2 linked regions of the Daphnia pulex genome follow. The protein of the gene in region 2 purifies or fractionates together with the protein of the main gene of each other region. This does not show direct contact. Links are inferred from orthologs where the notes say so. Each region holds a gene or a part of one and is shown on either strand. Other genes may lie near its edges.

Region 1 (4,145 bases), on a different chromosome or scaffold from region 2:
TGTGTGTCCGGCAGTTTGAAAAAATAAAAAAAATTTCGGGGGGAAAAAATCGGAAGACTCACAAATGTCCCTCAAGCTGAGAGATAGATCCAAAACGTAATGAAATATCCTTCCGGAATGTTGCGTATATATAAGCCAAGCCAAAAAAAGAGAATGGAAAAATTTAATTTTTGGAATATTTTTTGATTCGCTTGTTATCTCGACGGAAATTCTTGTCATTCCAATTTATTTCAAGTTAACGTTGATCCCTTTTTATATTTGATTTAGAACGCAGAAGAATGTCTGTGTGTAAAACTAGGAGCTAAATTCATTATTCTTTGTTTATAATAACTATAAAATACAATAACCGGTGTTGAAAGAAATATTTGGGGTGAAATTGACATCATCTTTTATATCTATCGATAAACAGGTATAACCTTGATGTTAAATGGACGTTCAACTCCTGCGTCAATGATGCGGTTTTCATCACATAGAAAAGCTGCGGTCAGCATCTCTCAAATTCTATTGTGTTTAAAGATATTAAAAAGGTGGGGAGCTGTATAGTTTCCACTGTCTCTCTCTCCTTCATCTAATTCCATTTAATGATTTGGTGTTGTATAGAAAAAATAAAACCAAGAGCCTTATATACTATTATCCAATTCGGATCTGGATGGACGGTGAACCGGACAGGCTCAACTCGAGCGGAACGGACGTATATATATTTAGTGAGACCTGAACTGTGTGTTTCTCTATTACAAGGCCGATAAGAAAAATTTAAAAATATAAAATGGTACACGAAAAAATATAAGCGGATTCGATTTCTCAGAAAAATTGATTATCTCCACTTCAATTGTTTTTTTTTTTGTTTTTATTTTTTTTAAATGTCATTTTTATTCATCCGGAGAAACAAATTTATCCTTTCACCGGTCACGCAATGGTGTGTTTTTACTCGTGATATTTATTTTCGGCTTGACGCCAAGTGTCCGTCTATGAATGTACACACACACACACAGAGAATCTAGTAGAGTGGATATAGTCCGTCTATCCTTTTTTCTTTTCCTTTTCTTTTACGGTTGCAGTTGTGTTTTTCGGGGGTGCCAAAGACCCGACGAGAGTGCTGGAACCCCAGCTAGCACGACTGGGAAAAATAAAAACCCACCAATAGGAACCGCATTGCCACAGGGTACGTTCTTCCATCTTTCTCTCTTTCTCTCCTTTTTTAACCATTCTTTCATTCTCTTTCGTTTCTTTTCATTCCCCCCCCCCTTCTCTCTCCCTTTCCCCGTGTATATATAAATATATGTACTATATATAAAAATACAAAAAAGAGCTGGAAGAAGAAGAAGAAGAAGAAGAAGAAGAGTATGGCGTGGCTTTATCGTGCCGGAGCAGCTCAGTCGAGTGTGGACGCTTAGCCGCAACAGCAGCAGCTACCAGGAGCAGCAGCAACCAACCAACAATTTTTATTATTTTGTTCGTGTGATTGTGTGTGTGTGTGTGTCTGTGTAGATTTTTATTTATTTTTTTTTTTTCCGGTGTACTCGGAGAAGATCTGGAAGAAATTTCTAAGAAATAGAAGAAGAAAAAAAGTGTCGATCTACTACTACACATGAGTGTCGTCTGCAGCAGTGAATCGCTTATATTTCCAGGGAATAATAAGATCAGAGACGATTCCCAGGGATTTCCATTATGGATTATCTGCTTACAAAGTTGTGATTTATTCGTGCGCGTTGTATATGGATTATTATTATTAGACACAATCGATCCGTCCGAAAAAAAAGTCCAGCAGTGCGCACCCCAGCACCGGTGCTGTAGATTGAAATCAGACACCGGAGAGAAAAAACAACTTCAACAGCAGCAGCGACTATTGTGTGTGTGTGGATGTAATTGCACATCATCATCCTGTTTTTCTTTAAGACACCAGCAGCAGCAGCAGAGCGAGGCCGGAACAAACTCCTACACATTTTGAAATCAAATTAAAATATAAAGGTGAGTGTTTTTTTATTTTATTTTTCTTCTTCTAAAATAGTAGAAGAAAGAAAGAAACGCTATTTGTCCAACGGCTGTCCAGCAGCAGCAACACCAAACATTTTTCTTTTTTGGCATTCTAATCCCGGTGACAAGATATTTTTATTATTATATTATTTCTGGCCCGGTGTTTATAATCCTTGCGGCCGTAGTACGGGGATAGCACAAGGTCCCCTTGGCGAATGAAAAGAGAAATGATATAAAAGGACAACACACGACGACGGGAAAAAAAGGAAAAAAATGTTTGAATAGAAAAGATGAAAAGTTACGGCATTTCTTTAATGTCTTCTTTTTCGTCGTCGTTCGTCGTTCGTCGGACGGTAGAAAAATAAAATAAATTTGTTTTTTTCTGCGCAAATCTAAACTGGCTTAAAACGTCTAAATTTGGAGATAAGGCGACTAAATAATAGCTGGAACGATTCGACTGGAGAAATTTTATTTTTTTGAAATGAGAGCAGGTTGAATATAATAATAAAATAGATCTGGTTTTGATTCCATTCGATATATGTTCCATCTGTTTTGTTTTAACAAATAAATGCAGACCGGTAGGGATGAGATGTCGCTGTTAAGTATTCGTGACCCGACGCGGATTGTTTCGAAGGGAAAACAAAACAAAACAAAAATCAAAAAATCTCATTAGTAAGATCTGGTCCCGCCAAGTTTTGAAAAACAAAAAAATCTACAAGGCGACATGGCTAAATGGAATTAAAATCAAAAGGGAAACTAAAAACTGGAAATTCGAGATTTGGTCCTTTTTTGTTTGAAATCTTATTGGAGGGGAAAAGGATATCATCGGGGAGGAGAGGATAGATTAATATATTATTGAGACAAGAAAAAAGAAAAACAGAAAAACCGGTCGATTTATAATGGCTGAACTTGTTTTTTCCTTGACGAAAAAAGAAAATAAAGGGAAAATAAATAACCCATCCTTGTTTGGATTAAAAGAAGAAAGAAAAAAAGTCATTCGGCAGGTTTAGACGTTGTCGTCGTATATATTTTTGTCTTCTTCCAAAATAAAAAATTCGTACTAAAAAAAAGGGGGCTCCGCCCTTATTTATTTTACGCGTAGATAAGAAAAACGTCAGATATTGAAATCTTTTTCTTCTTTCATAATGGCATATCCATTTTCTTGCTTCGTTCTTTCTGCTTTGACGAGAGAGAGACCAATTACACGAATATTTCACCCTGGCCAATCATCCGATACACCCAAAATGGGATGGACGAAAAAATATCTATGCACAAATGAGCTCATTAAATAGACTGAACAGTTTCCCAATATGTCGGAACAGATGGATCCCAAAACCAACCAACCAAAATTCCTTTTTTCTGCCATCAATCGTCTGTGTTATATACCGACAAGAAGATTATCCAGTAACAGGATAAATATATATATAGATTAATTATACCACTCAAGAGATTTATTAGACTCAACTAAATATCTAATACACACAGCGTCCCAGCAGCAGCAGCAGCTCTTGACCAAATATTATGACACCCGTGCTGTTATAGACTCGTGACATTCTCCAACTGGCCCCGGCAACTATATCGAGAGAGATGTTTATCGTAAGAAAAAAGTAAATTCTCAAGTAGTAGCCCATAGCGGAGTCGTAAATAAGTCGGCGCCAAAATTTGAAAAATAATAAAAATTTTTAAAAAGTTCTTCTTTGCGGTTGTATTAGATATATTTTCGGTGGGTTGAAATCTATCAATCTCAACTTTGATGAAAACGAGGGTTGAAAAAACTCGATCTCTTTAGATAAAACAGGAAGAAGCTCTTCTCCCCCTCTTTTCTTCTGCTGGGATGTTAAATAGTAAAATAGAAGAAGGTAATATAATGATGCGGTATGGCAACAGTGGCGGTTCTCCTTGGTTGTCTTGCTGCTGGGCCATTCACCTGTTGTTGTTGGGGGATACCAGAAGAAGAAGAAGAAGAACCGGAGGAACTTGAAAATGTTGAATTTTTTTGGCCCTCAGCTTCCCTCCAGGCTACACCTGGTTCTCCCTTTTCCTTCATTCTTCCTTTTCTTCTTCTTCTTCATTCCATTCGGTTTCAGGGAGGGGGGAACTGTTGCGCGACCGTTTTCTTCTTTTATTACACCCACAAGAAACCTTCTTCTTCTTCTTCTTCTTCTCTTACC
Region 2 (4,050 bases):
TTACTGTATGCACCGCCGCCGCTGCCGCTCCGCTCCCTATTTCGACTTTTAAATGCCGCGCAAACGAACCATTTGAAATTTATTTATTTCTTTCAACAATCTTTTACAATCAGAGAAAAAGGGGTTAACCAAAAAAAGAATGAGATGGGGAGGGAGGGAGAAAGCCTCTTCCTCCTCCTCCTACTATATAGTACACACACCTTGATTCGTCAATTTTCAATCCAGTTGCACCGCCGGGGTCTGCTGAATTTTATAAGGAGAGGCTAATAATAATACTATACTATGCACAGGCCAAGATGGCCTTATGGCGTTCCTTTCGGAGTCATAGACACGGAAAATATGGAAGGGGGAGTGGAGGGAGGGCTGGGGGGGGGCCAACAAGTGCTAGTGTAGTGTATCATACAGCCGACCGAAATGGTAAAACAACCCAACAGCCAAAAAATAGATACATGTTAAAGCCCTCGAATTTAACTTGAACACCCAAACGGAAAGGAAAAAAAATGAAAAGCTCTGGAAAATAATAACTGGCCGGCGGGAGCTGTGTGTGTCCAGGGCTACATGTGCTATGTGCCCACCTGAAGAAGAAAAAAAATCGCCCGAGGACGAGTTGAGAAATAGAAAAAAAAAATTATTTTTTGGGTTGAAATCGCAGGAACAATTTTTGTTTTTTTTTTTTCAAAAAAAATAATCAGACAAGAAATTCTTTCAAATTAAAATTTTTCTAATAAAAACCGGACTGGAAAAACGATTGTGATATGCCACTATCAAGCGTGCGAGCGTGCGCTCTCCCAACTCGTTATCAAAAAAAATTTTCTCGACTTCACTTTTTTGTCGTTTGTCAAGTCGTTTGGTAACGGTCGCACACTCTTTCCTATCGACGTATTAAATTAAAAATGACGTGGAGAAGAGAGAAAAAAACGTTCTTTCTGAAATAGTTTCGGAAATGAGCCGACCATTTTCTCTCGAGCCCTTGGAAAAAGGTAGACGCGAAGGGAAAGGAAAGAAGAAACAAGTTGGGAACTCTTTCAGGTGCAAGTTCCTCTAGAAGCCGAAGAAGAAGAAGAAGGAAAAGAATAAAAAGAAGAAGAAGAAGAACAGGTAAAAAGGGAAGACTCGAGCTGCTGGAGGGGAATTTTAAAAAATAAAAAAGATAGGGGAAATCGGGAGAGAGAGACACTGCAAGGAGAGGCGGAGGTAAACGCAGGAGGAGGTGGGAGGGACCTTGACGAGAGGTAGAAGAAACACACGCGCCTATATTCAGTCGAAAGGCAACCGCCGTGGCGATAGCATCGCCGCTACACCAAACTCTCATTCACACTTCTTCTTCTTCTTCTTTTTTAAGTGGTTGTAATAATCACGAGCGCGACAGCAGTGTGGACCCTCGCAACTTGCCATCTATCGGATATTTGTTTTATTCTCTTTTTAATTTCTTGTCGAATTAGCGTTTCGTCAAACGGGATCAATCGAGTGTATTGTTGCGTGTGCACACGTGTGATTTAAAATGCCGGAAGAAGGCTAATCGAGAGGTGCGCAATCAGTGTCAATTTTTAAAAAGAAAAGGAAAAAAATTAATCGGATCTCATTGTGACCCCGGGATGTTTTAAATCACGTGAAATATTTCAATGGAAGTGTCGACGACGACGACGAGTAAGTGCGCCAGCAACGGCGGATTGCCGGGCAGCAGCGCTGCCGTCGTCGCCAAAGTGTCGACTGTTGCAGCGGAAGAGGATTTGGCCGCGGCGTCGGCTTCCGGTGGCAACAGGAAAGATGGCGGCAGCGGTGGTGGGACCTTGTTACAGATGCACAAGCCTCTGGCCCACCTGTTGGCCCACCGTCAGTGGTGGAAAGTCTGCTGGGTCTACGGCGACCAGCAAAAGTATTACAGACAATTGTACGGGCGCAAAAAGAATTTGACGACGCTCAGGTCGACCGTCGCCGATGCCACCAAATCCTCCTCCTTGTCTTCCTCTTCTTGTTGTAATGATGACAATAATCACCACAGCGGCGGTGGTGTCGACGACGATGATGAAGAAGACGACGACGACGACGCCGCCGTCAGTTCATCATCATTTAACACTGTGCCATGTTTCCACACCTCGGAGTAAGTCGATTCGCCCTCGCGTTAACATTTTTCTAGACCCTCAACGAAGCCTCAATTATTTTACAGAGTACTTTTTGTCTTTTGGAATTTTTTCATTCGAGTACTAGAGCCGGAGATTAACATCTCGTTCAAATCTCATTTGCAGCAAATGACGACGCTCACTTTCTAGTTGCTTTTGACTTGCATAATCTCATCCGCCCACCAGCAAAGGCAATGACAGGGAATTTCACTGCAATATTCCAAATGCCTAGCGTGTGCAATTTGAATGACATTTGGGCTACTGAATGAATTTCTGTTTCTGTGGTGGAACCCGGCTGATTGCCCATGGGCCATTTAAGCAGATCGCAAGGTGGTGCTTTTTCTTTTCTTTTTTGAAGGGAAACGAACAAATACCAGATAGAAACAAGTTTAACAAAATCAAGTTAGCCATTTTTTTGTTGTTGTTGTTTGTTTGTCTTTTTTTGGGTTTTTTAAATTTATTTTCTGGTTGGTTATACTATTAAAGGTGGGTGGGTGAATACGAACAGGTCAGGAGAGACAAATGGTAGGGAGTTGGAAAATTTCGTATATTTTTTTTTTCCGAAGGTTTCACTTCGCTTGATTGGTTTTTTCCAAATTGGGGCATTTTCGGTCTGGTTTGATCGAATCCTCTTTTTTCTTTTTTTTTTTGTCTTGTTTCCCTTAACTTATTTTTTCCCCCCTTTTCAAATATTATGGCGCGATCGGCCAAGATACTACAACTATATGCGGCCATGACTTTTTTCACTTCTTCTTCTGGTCCGATGGAATGAAGACCGAGTTCCCTATGGCTAGGTGCGGGGCCATAAAACCTGAAAAAGTCTTCCCTTTTTCTTCTTCTTCTCCGGAGTCATTCAAAAAAAGCGCCTGGAAACACCTCTTACCTTGGGTAGCGAGAGGTGGCGAGCTCGGCGAACGAGAGAGAAACTCGAAAGAGAAATGACTCGCTCTCTCTCTCTCTCTCAGCATCTTCTTCTTCTTCTCGGCGCACGCATCACCTTATTCTGACAACAAAAGAAACGGGCCGTTTTCAAACGAGACGGAAATAAATGTGGCAGGAATAATTAGCAGGTCGTCAACTTGAGCATCTCATCCTTAGTTAAAGGGAAATTCTTTTTTGTTTTCGTTTTGTTTTTGTTTTTTTTTGTTTTTTCCCTTTTGTAATTCTCCCGTACTACTCCGGTGTTGTAGTAGTCGTAGTAGTCGTAGTAGTATATATTCTATCTTTACTGTAACTGTCTGCGTTGGATGTTGCGCGACCTCCGTTTTGGTTGATTGCCTTTTCGAGACGATAATGAAAGCCCCAGTATATTTATTTATATAAGAGCGTAGCAGCAGCAGCAGCTGAGGCAGCTTCGAACCGTTCGTTCCTCGTTCGTTTTCTTTTTTTACGACCGTTTTCGGCGATGCGCCATATCTTGGAAATATGTTTGGTGTCTGTGTGTGTGTTGGTGTTCCAAAGCTAGAGAAGAAGAAATACTAAAAACAAACAAGAAGAAGAAGAAGAAGAGGAGGAAAAAAAGATCAAAGTCACAGAAAAAGACCGACGAATGTTTAGTTGTTTTCTTTTTTTCTTATTCCTCCTCGTCTGATTTTAAATGTGCCCATGTTCGACTCGACAAACCGCTTTATTTCAAATCCTTAGATAGAAAGAAAAAAACAAAAAACTACGAAACAAGAAAAAAAAAAAAAAAAAAAGAAACTGGTCCAGACGACTTGTATTGCATGTCCGGGACAGGTGCCTGGGTGTCGTTTGGTAATGACTGGGCAACCGACCCGAACTGACGTCCTACCAGCCAACCACCAGCACCACACATCTAGTCTCTAAGCCAAGCATAAAATCAAGGCAGTTGAAGAAACGACGCGTAAAAAATGACCATCTCTTTGACTTAAAAGAAAACCAGAATTTCGGCACACATTATAATTTTTTT

The links. Proteins that work in one complex are often made in the same cells at the same time.
Region 1: the proteins of protein prickle-like (region 2) and vang-like protein 2 purify together in Drosophila melanogaster (affinity purification with western blotting; 6 studies listed by BioGRID). This does not show direct contact. The link is inferred for Daphnia pulex from reciprocal best matches to the Drosophila melanogaster genes pk and Vang.

The regions. Positions count from the first base shown.
Region 1 is NC_060018.1:12,086,816-12,090,960, forward strand, and holds the start of vang-like protein 2, read left to right. Parts: upstream 1-1,311; 5' UTR 1,312-1,968; intron 1,969-4,145.
Region 2 is NC_060020.1:6,129,666-6,133,715, reverse strand, and holds the start of protein prickle-like, read left to right. Parts: upstream 1-1,212; 5' UTR 1,213-1,622; coding exon 1,623-2,101; intron 2,102-4,050. UniProt on the Drosophila melanogaster protein: Acts in a planar cell polarity (PCP) complex; polarization along the apical/basal axis of epithelial cells. Correct expression of the alternative isoforms is required for PCP signaling in imaginal disks.